Arabidopsis thaliana: one gene and its partner. The protein of the gene in region 2 interacts with the protein of the main gene of each other region in a pairwise test. Each region holds a gene or a part of one and is shown on either strand. Other genes may lie near its edges.

Region 1 (3,753 bases), on a different chromosome or scaffold from region 2:
GCCGTGTGGTCCTCTGGTTATGTATCATTTTTGTGTAACTCCTTTAATTTTATTATTTACTTTGCAGAGTGTTCTTTTTTTCTTTAATTCTTTTTCTTTTGGGATAAAATGTAATATTGACCTACTAGTGTAATTTTTTTGAATTTTAAAATTAAAGATTTAGGTAGGAGATGTCAGAGCGGGTTAATCCGTCCCATTTAACCTAATCTACAACAAATTGCGATACTTTGCGAGTTTTGACGGATCATTCCATCGAAGACCTCGATATTCAAACATCATTCTAAATCCTACTCAAATTTCAATTGTCTCTTGTACTCATGTATTTCATGTATGAGAATTATTTCACTGTCTGAATGGGTTATGGATACTACTGATCATAACCATATCGCAAACCCATTTTCAAACATCTAAGATTATAATCCTAATCAGATGTATACGGAGCACCACTAGATTTAAGAGAATGGGGACATAAGCTGGTAAAGAATTGGGCCACCATTAAACGTGTGAAAGAAGAATTTGGGTTTAGGCCCATATCAAGCTAGATTCTCATGATACTTGGTTAAAAAGCAACCTTTTTATTTTTCTCCGAAGCAATTTACATTTGAGATTCATGATTTATTCATAGTAACGACTAAAAGAAAGAAGATGATGCATAGTTAGTTAGTACAGTGTGTTTTCCCCAATAGTTTCCCACGAGTCAGGCTTAACGTTTTCCTCTCGAATGACTCTACGTACCTCATTTAGTGACTTCGTTTTCTTTCACCTTAAGAATTGGATCATCGAGTTTAGGTATTGTTGTCTCTTTCTTTTCCTGTTCACAAATAGAAAAACGAGCAAGATTTTTTATTGAAGTTCACTCACAAGTCAAATGTTAAAATGAAACAGAGAAGAGTAGAGAGGTGAAGAAATAAATATACCTCAGCCTTAGATTTTGGTGTTGATTGTTCTGTGATATACTGTAAGATCTCAAAGAATTTGGTCTGCCCTTGGTTGATTGCTTTTTGGAGATATATCATTGCCATATCCTTAGCTCTAGTCTTTACCTTCACCAAGTTGCGGTCAATTTCATTTTCATGCTTTGCTATATATGGCCTGAAGAAAGAATCGTAAACGTATGTTGTTCCCTGAAATGATATAACACATAGGTAATAAAAATTAGAGAAAAAGTCAGTTGAATCAAAAGATATATAAGATATTACTTACTTTAGTCTTTGGAAACCAGAGATAAATGAAGAAAGCCAACTTCGCCTCGCTATACATTGGTAACCTTCAAGACAACATGAAAACATAAGAATACTAATATACAATACTGTAAAACTCTTTGTTTTCTAAGTAATATAAACAGCCTACCAAGAAACAAGAGCATCACCAATTCTTTCGAAAATCGTCAAAGCAGCTACAATAATCCTGCAAAGATGTTTTGAGTGGAAGGAAGCAAGATTTATATAGGAACCTAAAAAGGTTATAGATAAAGGATAGAATGTATGCATATACCAATACTGGCACCAGAACTGAAGTTGTTGAATTTCAGGCTTGTTGAGTTCGACCGTTTTGAAGCACTCATAAGCAGGATATGCATATCCAAACACCATTCTGTCAATAAATAGAAAGATTCATTACTTAGTTTGATTGAAAGAAATGTGTGTTTTATAAAATTAAAAGAAGAGATCAATAACATACAAAAGCCCTCTTGTCAGAAACGATCCAATCATTGTGATCACCTGCTAAAACGTTTAAAAAAAACAAAAGAATCTGCTTGTCAGAATTAAATTCTCGACCCCGATTCATTGAAATGATTATATCATCCAAAATACAAAAAGACAGAGACAAAACAATCAACTAAACAATATTGATGCATGCCTTCAAACGATTACACTTCCTAAAGGCTAATATGAAGAAGAAGATATTAACGGTTTAAGCGATTGAACAATAACACATACCTTATCAGAAAAACGGTTTCGGCGAAAAAGGAATGAGAAGAATGATTTCGAACGAATTATAGACGACGGTTACGTACGATAGTGACTTGCGAATGGAGAAACAAAAGATGGAGAAAAGGCGAAGCAAAACGGTATCGGATAGTGACTTGCGAATCCTTTTTTCATTTGTTCTCTACTTGTGAGTTTCAACTTGAAACAGTGCGGTTTTTAAATAGTCAACAATCACGACTTTTAGACGTTATCAGCCGTTGGATTTATACTTGACGGTTGTGATCGTCTACGTTTAAGCGGGTGTATCGTATCTCACCACACCGTATCTTGTTTTCCTCTTCTCCAATACGCTTCGGAAAACTGGATTACAGTTAACAGTGGATTAGTGGATAAGGAGATAAATACTAAATATCTTATTAAGCCACGTGAACAAATCTTAGCCATGGAAACATAATCTAGTGGCTGAGATTAACCCAAAACTACTGGTTCTTCTTCTTCCTCTCATCCATCTTCGCGCGCTTAAGCGATTCTCTGCAAAGCTTCATACCAAACAAAGAGAAGTCGAAATGCCAGTTTCAGCTCCATCTCCGCCTCGTCTTCATTCTCCGTTCATTCACTGTCCCATCAATTTCACTCCTTCTTCTTTCTCGGCGAGGAATCTCCGGTCGCCGTCAACATCTTATCCCCGAATCAAAGCTGAACTCGATCCCAACACGGTTTGATCCTCATCTCTGGCTATATAGACTTTGTTCTCTTCTCACTAGTTTTTATTGATGAACGATTTTGATTATCTTTCTAGGTAGTCGCGATATCTGTAGGCGTAGCAAGCGTCGCATTAGGAATCGGAATCCCTGTGTTCTACGAGACTCAAATCGACAATGCGGTGAGTCTTCTCATTCTCATTGTTGAAAATTTGATACCGTTTTGGCAATGCTTCTAAGTGAGTGCATTGCTGTGGAATAAAGTTAACACTGTTTTGATTTTACACTTTCATAGGCTAAGCGAGAGAATACTCAACCTTGTTTTCCCTGTAATGGCACCGGAGCTCGTAAGTGGATCTCTCTCAACTTTTTGTTAGCATTTTGGTTGGATTTGTGTAAGAGCAAAATGTTTGATGTGTCGAAAATGTTTATAAACATATTATGATGTTTCTGAAGAAATAGTTTCTTTGGTGGTGGAGCAGAGAAATGCAGATTGTGTGTGGGAAGTGGTAATGTGACCGTAGAGCTTGGTGGAGGAGAGAAAGAAGTCTCAAACTGTATCAACTGTGATGGTGCTGGTTCCTTAACTTGCACTACTTGTCAAGGCTCTGGTGTTCAACCTCGATACCTTGATCGAAGGTACTATACTATACGATTACTGTGAATCAGGAGCCACTCTGTTTTTTGCACATTGTAGAGATACTAACACATTTCTCTTTTCTTTTCTTTTCTTCTGGTCAGGGAGTTCAAGGACGATGACTAAATACCTTGCTCTAAGGAACATTTCTTTTCTTCTCCCTTCTCACATTTCTTCATTGTACAATGCTGTTTTGTTCACCAAACATGTTGAGAGAACATCATGACATGGATATTGTAATTGTGAAAGAAAACCACCAGAGTTCAATCAAATGTTTCTTCTTGTACTTACCTAGTAACCATGTCTACCTCGTCAAGCACATTGATTCAGTTTGTAATACTAAATCTATCCTCTTGCGTTATGGAATCAGCTTTCCTTGACCTCAAAGCAGTTACCATGTCCGACAAAGCGCCTGCCATTTTCCCCAATGCTGCTGGATCAAATATGGCTCGGTCTCAAAGAGGTCTTTGAATCCGGTTCACTC
Region 2 (3,753 bases):
TTACTTTCATTATCTATCATGTAAGACACGTCTAGTCCCTCCAGAACCAAGTGATAAACAATTTCCTCATCCAATGTATCTTGTGGCTTGTTCCGTTGCGACATTGATCGTATGTCCCATGACAGGACCTGCGTGATCAAGCTCCTAAACTCATCTGCTGAACTATATAGAGACTTCTTTTCCTGCGCGCATAGCAACTATTATGTTAAAACAGTAAATGGAGAAGAGATGATCAGGTCAGAAGTCACTCACTATCAGTTTCCAGCAGCTGGTGATGGATGAAGAGAAGGTATCTGAGAAAGTCACAGAAGCCACAGCCAATGAGCAGTCCTCCTGAAATTCATATTCAATTTGTTTTAATCTTTACTTGTACCTACTCAGGTAAGGACGCAGTTACTCACAATGATCTTCAAGTCTCAGCAGTATTCAGTTACATAGACGAAAAACTTAGAAAGATCAATTCACAAGAATGTACATTACCTTTACCCAGTTTGGCACTGAGGCTCCTTGAATACTGTCCGAGTATGGTAAATATGGTTTGATGTCGAGCACCGGCTGTCCAAAACCGTCAAAACAATCAACGAACTACTCATTACTCAAAAAGCTGACATGAGTAAGGGAAAGGAGAATTACAGTCCCATCCACCAGATCGACACCAGAGAGGAGAACCTTATCCTTTTGGATTTCCTCCACCTAAGGATTAATCACCATTAAGTACTTTTGGTCAAGATATTCAATATGTCTTTATTAACAACAGGAGGAACGGATTACGCTCAGAAAACCTTAGCAACGGTGAGGCCAATGGGACAAGGTCGATGAGGGGACCGCGTAGCAAAGACTCCCTTCCGTTCCCCATTTAGCCGTGGCACTCTCACCTAAATTCACAACACCCCAAAAACCTCAGACTGAGTAACATCATAACATAGAAACAAACAAAAGAAAAGAAACATACCTTTGCCTTGAGCTTCGACTGAGATGGTTTTCTCCATAGCTTCTCGATATCAGTATTGAGATGAAACACATAGAGTATCCAGCAATGAGAATACTCTTCAAGACCCTCAAGAGACGCAGGAGGAACCAAAGCCGGATCAAAGATCAAACATGCCCTCGCAAGAGAAACAAGCAATGGCTGCCTCGGTGTCCCGTTCCTGCAAAAACCAAGAAGTAGCACTTAAGAAGCCAATTATTTTAAAACAGTATAAAGCTCCCCTGAAACTGGAAAGCCATGAGGATCATGTTACCTAGTAGAGAAGCAAGACTGGATAGTGCCAATAGGTCGCATCGGGTATATTGTGCTGTGTAAATCATGTGACTCAGTCTGTGCTAACGCCTCCCGTAAAGCCTACAGCTTTCAATTGCATCAAGAGAGTGAACATAAATCCATAGAGATTTCCTCCAATCTTGACAAGTATCAATTTTGATGTGCATTTGAATGATTTGAATCTAAATTCCTATATTTCAGAGACTAGTACAAGTTAAAAAAAAACTCACCTGCTGAGCTTTGACTCGACCTTTTCTCTCAGAAGCACTTTTTTCCAAGGTAGATCCCAAAGACTTCTCAAATTCCTTGATCCTATTCTCCAAATCTTCTTCTCGTCTTCGCCATCTATACACTTCGCAAGAACATGCTCAATAAAGTGTTAGTTTCTCGAAACCAGCTCAATAACAGGTATTGGGAAGAGGAAGTGACAGAGAGGTAGAGAGAAAGAGATTACGCGAGAAGGCAGCGGATACAGATACTACGGCGAGTGTAAAGGCTAAAGCCGCCGTGGTAGAGCCGTGGGAGCGTCCTGATGTAGCCATAGATGAACTGTTTGCTGCGACGGCGAGTGGAACGTTGCGACGGCGGCGGGAATGTATCGGTCCGGGAGTCAAATCGGTTTTTACTTTTAGTTATGGGAGAGACAGTTATAATAACTGTAAGGCCCATATAATTATCAAATGCTTAAAAGTCCAGCAACGGCCCACTGAATTTGTTGGATTTGCCTATATTTTATGTTCTGTAAGTAAATACTAAACTTCTTTCTCAAAAAAAAAAAAAAAACTAAAATTTAACGAACTATACACAACTAAATTTATTTTTTTCCATCAAACAATTTCATTTTTTTTGGTGTGAATCCATCAAACAATTTCATTGAATTCAAGGCAGAATTAATTGAAAACCTAAACGGAAATATTTTCTTAGAAATTGTTACAAAAGTGTATGTTTGATTCTTATTTAAGTGTAAAACTCTTTAAATTTTGTTCTTTTACAAATGGCAGGATTTGACATTTTGAAACAAGGGAGGATTTACAAAGTGTATGTGTTTAACAACTTAACTTGCATGAACACAACATTAGATTTGGTCACAGTTGAGAGTAGAGAAAACCAAATGAAACTTAATTCATTCTAAGTTGATGGAGTGAACAAATGGACAACTGCAGACCAATAACCAGCCAACTGCAGTTATAAATAGCAACCTCACGATTTAGTAAAAAAGCCTTTCATTTATCAACAACACTGAGGAAGTATAAGTAAACCATACCTGAGCCAGAATACCCTTCCCCGTTTGAGCTTCGATCACCAGCCCTATCATGAGTCCTATGATTGCCCATGCTCCGTTAATAGCCTCTATTTCACGCCTTCTCTGTAAAGCAAACGAGAGAATAAACTTCTGTGCTATCTCCACAAATCTTGTATACAATTTATCATCATTCGTCCAGAGGGTTTATTTCCTCACCTGTTGCTTTTCTCTGCCTTTAATCTCTTCCATTTGCTTACTAGCTAACCGCTTAGCCTCAAGAGGGTCTACCATGATTACCTCTTTTTTTACCTTTGCTTTTCCTGGAGGAGGAGGAGGAGATACCTACAAGAACACTCAGCATGTCAGTAAGTTTAAACCAATGGTCATATCATATCAACCAACAAGAAGATCAAACATGACATGAGTATGACTTGGTGTCCTGAACGAAAACACTACTAAGATAGCAAAATCTATAACTGCAAAAAAAGGTTAATGTTATACATTTGGGTTCGCTAGGACTCGTACTACTCCAACTCTGGCTCTGTTGCCCACCAACTTTGCATCTTGGTGTCTTCTTAGTCCCTTTCTGATGAAAAATACATGTTTATAATGAATGAGAAGTTGTCTATTTATCAAACGTAATGATAACAACTGATCAATGACTCCTAAATTGGATAAAACCAATGCTTCTTCTTCATGATCTTATTACCAACTTAGATTAACAAATGTCATAAAAGAAAAGAAGAAATAAAGCTGGCAATGGAACAAACACAGGGTATGTAAGTAAGTAAGAGAAGAGAAGCAGAATAAGAGGAATGCTTATCTCATGTATAGAATAACTATCAATTCGGTACCAATAAGTAAACTTATCCAAAACGCAAGAGCAAATATTCACAACACAAGTGTGATTATGTGAAATGAAACAGATCCAATAGGAACTAAACCGCTTCCAAACTATAAACAGTTCACTGATTACATTTGGATCTTAAACACGATGATGAATAAAGGATTTGAATTTCAAACATTACTCATAGAAAGCATCTTAACCCAATCAACAGAGAAGAAATCAAAGTCACAATTGGAGAAATCTCAATTACCCAAAATGGATTCTGATTTTAGAAGTTCAGAGGAAAAACAGAGACTTTGGTGGCGAGTAACAACAAAAATCACAAACCCAGATCACGAATTACAAAAATTACGAGGCAGAACACTACATACGCTTTTCATTCCGAAAATTCAAAACTTCAAC

Evidence for each region. Proteins that work in one complex are often made in the same cells at the same time.
Region 1: the proteins of AT4G28020 (region 2) and LQY1 interact in a two-hybrid assay, tested with the Arabidopsis thaliana proteins (one large-scale study listed by BioGRID).

Annotation. Positions count from the first base shown.
Region 1 is NC_003070.9:28,421,915-28,425,667, reverse strand, and holds the start of LQY1 (DnaJ/Hsp40 cysteine-rich domain superfamily protein), read left to right. Parts: upstream 1-2,147; 5' UTR 2,148-2,497; coding exon 2,498-2,647; intron 2,648-2,730; coding exon 2,731-2,814; intron 2,815-2,927; coding exon 2,928-2,979; intron 2,980-3,114; coding exon 3,115-3,271; intron 3,272-3,373; coding exon 3,374-3,395; 3' UTR 3,396-3,753. Other genes in the region: HVA22G (HVA22-like protein G), read right to left, coding at 737-811, 918-1,124, 1,204-1,267, 1,351-1,593, 1,681-1,712. UniProt on the Arabidopsis thaliana protein: Protein disulfide-isomerase probably involved upon formation of a complex with HHL1 in maintaining photosystem II (PSII) activity under high light by regulating repair and reassembly of PSII complexes.
Region 2 is NC_003075.7:13,933,447-13,937,199, forward strand, and holds the start of AT4G28020 (tRNA-thr(GGU) m(6)t(6)A37 methyltransferase), read right to left. Parts: upstream 2,034-3,753; 5' UTR 1,804-2,033; coding exon 1,716-1,803; exon of another isoform or gene 1,614-1,715; coding exon 1,492-1,613; intron 1,491-1,491; exon of another isoform or gene 1,343-1,490; coding exon 1,242-1,342; intron 1,149-1,241; coding exon 953-1,148; intron 876-952; coding exon 783-875; intron 694-782; coding exon 634-693; intron 556-633; coding exon 481-555; intron 334-480; coding exon 253-333; coding exon of another isoform or gene 238-252; exon of another isoform or gene 187-237; intron 183-186; coding exon 1-182. Other genes in the region: AT4G28025 (uncharacterized protein), read right to left, coding at 2,390-2,440, 2,526-2,627, 2,721-2,846, 3,006-3,090.